2 linked regions of the Macaca mulatta genome follow. The protein of the gene in region 1 interacts with the protein of each later gene in a pairwise test. Links are inferred from orthologs where the notes say so. Each region holds a gene or a part of one and is shown on either strand. Other genes may lie near its edges.

Region 1 (2,703 bases):
CTCCTCTGGCATCCTCACATGTAAAAATGCAGACAGTGGCTGGGCGCGGTGGCTCACGCCTGTAATCCCGACACTTTGGGAGGCCGAAGCGGGCAGATCACTTGAGGTCAGGAGTTTGAGACCAGCCTGACCAACGTGGTGAAACTCCATCTCTACCAAAAATACAAAAATTGGCTGGGCGCGGTGGCTCACACCTGTAATCCCAGCACTTTGGGAGGCCGAGGTGGGTGGATCACGATGGTCAAGACCATCCTAGCTAACACAGTGAAATCCTGTCTCTACTAAAAATACAAAAAATTAGCTGGGCATGGTGGTGGGTGCCTATAGTCCCAGCTACCCGGGAGGCTGAGGCAGGAGAATGGTGTGAACCTGGGAGGCGGAGCTTCCAGTGAGCCGAGATTGTACCACTGTACTCCAGCCTGGGTGACAGAGCAAGACTCCATCTCAAAAAAATAAACAAATAATTAGCCAGGCATGGTGGCAGGCGCCTGTAAACCCCGCTATTCGAGAAGCTGAGGCAAGAGAATCACTTGAACCCGGGAGGCGGAGGTTGCAGTGAGCCAAGATGGCATCACTGCACTCCAGCCTAGGTGACAGAGCCAGACTCCGTCTCAAAAAAAAAAGAAAAAAAATGCAGGTAGTAACAACAACTGGGCTTGTAATGGGCTACTGGGAGAATCAGATAAGACAGCAGACTTGGAAGTGTTTTGTAAACTCGAGGGATTATTATTTCTTGATTGGAGAAAGAGGAGACAGCATTTGGTGATGAAGTCATACAGGTGGATGTCAGGGAGGGTGATCAATCGAAGGATGGGAACTGGAACTGAGAACCCAGCAGGTACTTCTAGGAAGACTCAGCAGTCAGTGGTGACGGTGGCTGAGAGCTCCTGGATGCGCCAGGCGCTGCAGGCCTTGCATAAGATGTGCCCATCCAGCGGGTAGCAGCCCTGACACTCGCCCTCAGAGGAGAGCAGCAGCCCACACTCCTGTTGAAAAAGAAGCAACAATTGGCCGGGTGCGGTGGCTCACACCTGTAATCCCAGCACTTTGAGAAGCCGAGGCGGGTGGATCACAAGGTCAGGAGTTCGAGACCAGCCTGGCCAATATGGTGAAACCCTGTCTCTACTAATACAAAAATCAGCCAGGCGTGGTGGCCAGCACCTGTCATCCCAGCTACTCAGGAGGCTGAGGCAGGAGACTTGCCTGAACCCGGGAGGTGGAGGTTGCAGTGAGCCAAGATCGTGTCACTGCACTCCAGCCTGGGCCACAGATCGAGACTCCATCTCAAAAAAAAAAAAAGAAAGAAAGAAAGAAGCAACAGATTTCCATCAGCCCCAGATCTCTGTGTTCCCCGTCTCGTGCTCTACCCAGCACCGCAGACACTGCCAGCCCCTTGCACGTGCTGGGGGCCCCTGACCTCACACTTGTAACAGCCAATGTGAAAACTTCGATCCAGAGCAACAATTCTCACAGTCTCCTCCTGACCTGGCTCAGGCATTATGGCCCCACCGCACACTGAGCATCTTGGGGCAAACTTCCTGCGGGGGAAGAGAACCAAGAAGGCCATCAAGCCTTGGGGTTGCAGGGCACCAACAATGGAACCCAGAGAAGGTGGGGCATAGGAGGGATTCAGGGAGGCCAGAGGTATGACCTTAGGTCTTGGGGAAGGGATGATGTCAAAGAGAATGAGAGAGGCTAGGTGCAGTGGCTCTAGCCTGTAATGCCCCCACTTTGGGAGGCCAAGGCAGGAGGATTACTTGATGCCAGGCGTTCAAGACCAGCCTAGGCAACACAGCAAGACCATGTCTTTATTAAAAAACAGAAGAAGACTGGGTGCAGTGGCTCACGCCTGCAATCCCTGCACTTTGGGTGGCCGAGGCAGGTGGATCGCTTGAGCTCAGGAGTTTGAGACCAGCTTGGCCAACATGATGAAACCCTGTCTCTACAAAAAATACAAAAAAAAAAAAAATTAGCAAGGCGTGGTAGCACACGCCTGTAATCCCAGCTACTCAGGAGGCTGAGGCAGGTGAATCACTTGAACCCAGGAGGCAGAGGTTGCAGTGAGCTGAGATCCTGCCACTGCACTCCAGCTTGGGTGACAGAGCGAGACTCCATCTCAAAAAAAAAAAAAAAAAAAGCTAACAAAAAACGAAGAAAACTAGCCAGGCATGGTGGCGTGTGCACCTGTAGTCCCAGATACTCAGGAGGCTGAGGTGGGAGGATCACTTGAGCCCAGGAGTTGGAGGCTGCAGTGAGCTATGATCATTTGCCATTGCACTCCAGCCTGGGCAACAGAGTGAAACTCTTGTCTCTAAAAAATAACAATAACAAAGAATGAAGGAGGGCCAGGGGTGGGAAACAGGGAGAGACAGTCCTGGGGCATGAAGAGATGAAAGAGACAGGAAAGGTCAGACATTGTGAGACGAGGTGGAGCCTGGGCCTGACCTGTGAAAGTCCTCAATGCAGTGGATCTGGCTCGTAGCATCCACCGTGAAGGGGATGCCGTCGAGGCCACGGTGACACACCACGCAGGTGAAGCAGCCAGGGTGGTAGGCTTTCCCCATAGCCCGCAGGATCCGGTCCAGGATGGGCTGGGAGCACGTGGCACATTTCTCCAGGGTGGCCTGTTGGGAAGGAAGGCAGGAAGGTCTGGGAGCAGGCGGGAGCCATGGCAGCACAACAGGCACCCCAGCAACCCAGCCA
Region 2 (4,361 bases), on another chromosome or scaffold:
AGTGCAGTGGGTGCGATCTTGGCTCACTGCCACCTTGGCTTCCCAGGTTCAGGCGATTCTCCTGCCTCAGCCTCCCGAGTAGCTGGGATCACAGGCGAGTAGCTGGGATCACAGGCGTGTGCCACCACGCCCGGCTAATTTTTTAATGGCCAGGCTGGTCTCGAAATCCTGACCTCAGGTGATCCAACTACCTTGGCCTCCCAAAGTGTTGGGATTACAGGCATGAGTCACCGCGCCCGGCCAATTCCCCTAACATCTTGTAGCCTCGGAGTCAAAGACCTTACTGGTTTTGATAGATACCATCACCACAACAGTCATCAATAAGCACATGAGTATACTAGATCAGGGCTGAGTTATAAAAATTTACCCAAGGAGGTGGTCCCCTAAAAGTAGATTTTTTCTTTCCCCCTGACAGGTCCATCAATAAAGTATCAAGAGATTATCGGCAATATTACAAATCACTGAAGTCTGTGTGGGGTTTTCTAGAAGCTGAGCCAATTATTTACTTAATTGTCTAACGATTAACGACACCCCTTCTGCTTTCTGGGCCTGCGTTTCGTAATCGATGACCTGAGAGGTATAAAGTAATTTCAAAAAAAAAAAAAAAACCACAAAAAACGAAAAACAACAAACCACCCCTCGGAACAGAGGCTTATCATGTGAGCACCCAGACAAGCCAGCTTCAAAATGAGGTGAAAACTACAGTTCCTCTTCCGTTTATCAGAGTTCTAACTGGGACCACCGTGAACCACATCTACTGCCCGAGGGGCAGGGACGGCTGCTTCAGTCCCCGGGCTTCCCGCTCGGTCCCTTCGCACCGCATCTCCCTGAGGCCGCTACTCCCGCCGCGCCCGCCCAGGGAACTGCCCCGCCAGCGTCGTACCCGCAGGTTGGCTCGGAGACCCAGACTCTTGGCTAAGTTCTGCAGGTCACTGTACTTGAGGGAGTCCAGCTCCTCTAGGGAGGGGATGATCATCGCGATTCAAAATCCCGGTGATACTCAGAAGATGGATCACCAAGTCTCGTAAGCGAGGTTCAAATCCCTGGCGCCACTCTTAACTTTGACTAAGCTGAAATTTATAGACAGTTTAAATGAAGAATGCCGCGCTTCCATTGGTTGAAAATGCCTCAAAGGCGGGGTTTCTAACCCTGACCAATAGAAAGGCTGATTTCCCGTCCCAACAGTCGCGCGCTTTTCTCACACTTCACGAATACGCAGGCGCCGAAGGGCCTGTAAGGCCGGTTCAGGTAACGAGTGCGCGGACTGGGACTCCAGTGCTTGGATTGCCCACGATGTCCAATGAGGACGCAGGAGCTGTGCTTGGGGCGGGGCCTGGCGTGTATTCGAAACGACGGCGCCGGCTGAGAGAAGATGGCGTTTCAGCCGCGGCGGCATCGCTCCCCTTGTGCAACGCCGCCCCAGGGTGACTTTTGTGATGGCACTGAGAGGGCGATTGACGAAGCATCTTTTACGACCTCCATGGAGTGGGATACACAGGTGGTGAAGGGGTCCTCGCCGCTCGGCCCCGCAGGGCTGGGGGCTGAGGAGCCGGCCGCCGTCTCGCAGCTGCCGTCTTGGCTGCAGCCTGAGAGGTGCGCTGTTTTCCAGTGCGCACAATGCCACGCCGTGCTCGCCGACTCGGTGCACCTCGCCTGGGACCTGTCGCGGTCCCTTGGGGCCGTGGTCTTCTCCAGTGAGTGCAGTGAGGCGTTCGGGAAAGGCAGAGGCTAGCCCGAGAGGTTGTTCCCGCCTTCTCCACCGGGTGGCAGAGAACCACCTGGGGAAGAAAACGGAATGAAAATTTGGAAGCACATAACTCCTTGGCCTGGGGATGGGGCAGGGAACTGGGGAGTCTCCTGACATTTATGGCGGGGATGAGTCTGTCTAGAGGAGAGATTTTCCATTTCAAGGCCCGCAGAGTATGAGTTCTGACCCGTGTTTGTGTTCCTAGGAGTTACAAATAACGTCGTTTTGGAAGCGCCCTTCCTAGTTGGCATTGAAGGTTCACTCAAAGGCAGGTACGTATTGATAATTACAGATTGGTCTCTAGTCCCTGACTTTATGAGACTGAGGAGCGTGGAACTGACATGTACTTGTTGAGCAAGTCTGTTGACAGCATTTCCTTTTTTTTTGTTGGTTTGATTTTTTTCTTTTTGAGATGGAGCCTCACTCTGTTGCCCAGGCTGGAGTGCGGTGGCGCGATCTCGGCTCACTGCAAGCTCTGCCTCCCAGGTTCACACCATTCTGCCTCAGCCTCCCGAGTAGCTGGGAAGGCATGTGAAGTCATGCCAAATTGTGAATATGAAGAAAAAAATGGGGCCGGGCGCGGTGGCTCACGCTTGTAATCCCAGCACTTTGGGAGGCTGAGGTGGGTGGATCACATGAGGTCAGGAGTTCAAGACCAACCTGACCAACATGGTGAACCCCCGTCTCTACTAAAAATACAAAATTAGCCGGGCATGGTGGCACACACCTGTAATTCCAGCTCTTTGGGAGGCTGAGGCAGGAGAATCACTTGAACCCGGGAGGCAGAGGTTGCAGTGCACTGAGAACACACCATTGCACTCCAGCTTGGGCAGCAAGAGCAAAACTCCATCAAACAAACAAATACATGGAAATTAAAAGTGCTACTCCAGTTATAAGCTGATATGGAGGAAGTTTGAGTGGTATGAGTAGAAGATCAAACCAGCCACAGCATTCCTTTAAACCAAAGCCTAATCCAGAACAAGGCCCTAACTCTCTTCAATTCTGTGAAGGCTGAGAGGTGAGGAAGCTGCAGAAGTTTGAAAGTAGCAAATGTTGGCTAGGTGCAATGGCTCATGCCTGTAGCCCCAGCACTTTGGGAGGCCGAGGTGGGTGGATTGCTTGAACCCAGGAGTTTGAGACCAGCCTGGGCAACATGGTGAAATGCTGTCTCTACAAAATACAAAACAATTTAGCCGGATGTGGTGGTGCACACCTATAGTCCCAGCTGCTTGGGAGGCTGAGAAGGAAGGCTGGCTTGAGCCATAGAGGTCGAGGCTACAGTGGAGCTGTGATTGTGCCACCACACTCCAGCCGGGGTGACAGAGCAAGACTATCTAAAAAAAAAAACAGAGGTTGGTTCTTGAGATTTAAGGAAAGAAACCTTCTCTATAACAAAAGTCCAAAGTGAAACAGCAAGTACTGATGCAGAAGCTGCAGAAAATGAAAGTGGGTACACTAAACAACAGATTTTCAGTGCAGATGAAACAGCCTTCTATTGGAAGAAGATGCCATCTCAGACTTTCATAGGTAGAAAGGACAAGTATTACCTGGCTTGAAAGGAGCTGGTCACAGTGACTCACACGTGTAATCCCAGCACTTTGGGAGACCAAGGTGGGAGGATTGCTTGAGCATAGGAGTTCAAGACCAGCCTGGGCAACATAGCAAGAACCGATCTCTACAAAACATTTAAAAATTAGATGGGCATTATAGTGTGCACCTGTGGTCCAGCTAATTGGAAGGCTGAGGTGGGAGGATCACTTGAGTCTGGGATGTCAAGGCTGTAGTGAGCTGTGATGGTACCACTGTACTCCATCCAAAAAAAAGAAAAAAAAAAGCTTCAAAGGACAGGCTTTCTCTCTTGTTAGGGGCCAATGCAGCTGATGACTTTAAGTTGAAGTCAATGCTCATTTACTGTTACTATCTATAGCTACTATAGATAGTTATTCCTCTGATGGATATGGGCAAAGTAAATTGAAAACCTTCTGGAAACCCAGCTAAATTTTGTATTTTTAGTAGAGACGGAGTTTCACCATGTTGACCAGGCTGTTCTCAAACTCCTGGTCTCAGGTGATCTGCTCGCCTCCCAAAATGCTCAGATTATAAGCGTGAGCCATTGCGCCCGGCCCAGTAAATTAATTTCCACTGACACATTTGTTTATAAGTACTGTGCTTTGTCTGAACTAATTAATTCCTACGTGGAATTTCAAATTAATGACACTTTATTTCACAGTTTGCTTTTTGGTTACCTATATTCACAAGATTACTATATGTGTGGTGTGGGACTTCATTTACCAATAAACCTAATATATTTTGTTATTTGTTCTTTTTTAGTATCCATTGACATGAATATTTCTTTTTAGCTATGTGTTTTTTGTTTTTTTTTTTTCTTTTTTAAGACGGAGTTTTGCTCTTGTCGCCCAGGCTGGAGTGCAATGGCACAATCTCCGCTCACTGCAACCTCCGCCTCCCCGGTTCAAGCGATTCTCCTGCCTCACCCTCCTGAGTAGCTGGGATTACAGGCACCCACCACCATGCCTGGCTAATTTTTGTATTTTTAGTAGAGACAGGGTTTCACCATGTTGGCCAGGCTGGTCTTGAACTCCTGACCTCTGGT

The links.
Region 2: the proteins of TRIP6 (region 1) and OIP5 interact in binary tests that used the Homo sapiens proteins (3 or more experiments, as listed by UniProt). The two-hybrid records come from large-scale screens. The link is inferred for Macaca mulatta from reciprocal best matches to the Homo sapiens genes TRIP6 and OIP5.

Annotation. Positions count from the first base shown.
Region 1 is NC_133408.1:48,081,978-48,084,680, reverse strand, and holds the end of TRIP6 (thyroid receptor-interacting protein 6), read right to left. Parts: intron 2,625-2,703; coding exon 2,446-2,624; exon of another isoform or gene 1,865-2,445; intron 1,539-1,864; coding exon 1,418-1,538; intron 1,046-1,417; exon of another isoform or gene 987-1,045; coding exon 855-986; coding exon of another isoform or gene 845-854; 3' UTR 704-844; downstream 1-703. UniProt on the Homo sapiens protein: Relays signals from the cell surface to the nucleus to weaken adherens junction and promote actin cytoskeleton reorganization and cell invasiveness. Involved in lysophosphatidic acid-induced cell adhesion and migration.
Region 2 is NC_133412.1:18,677,165-18,681,525, reverse strand, and holds the start of OIP5 (protein Mis18-beta), read left to right. Parts: upstream 1-1,325; 5' UTR 1,326-1,372; coding exon 1,373-1,694; exon of another isoform or gene 1,695-1,778; intron 1,779-1,952; coding exon 1,953-2,019; intron 2,020-4,361. Other genes in the region: NUSAP1 (nucleolar and spindle-associated protein 1), read right to left, coding at 884-976. UniProt on the Homo sapiens protein: Required for recruitment of CENPA to centromeres and normal chromosome segregation during mitosis.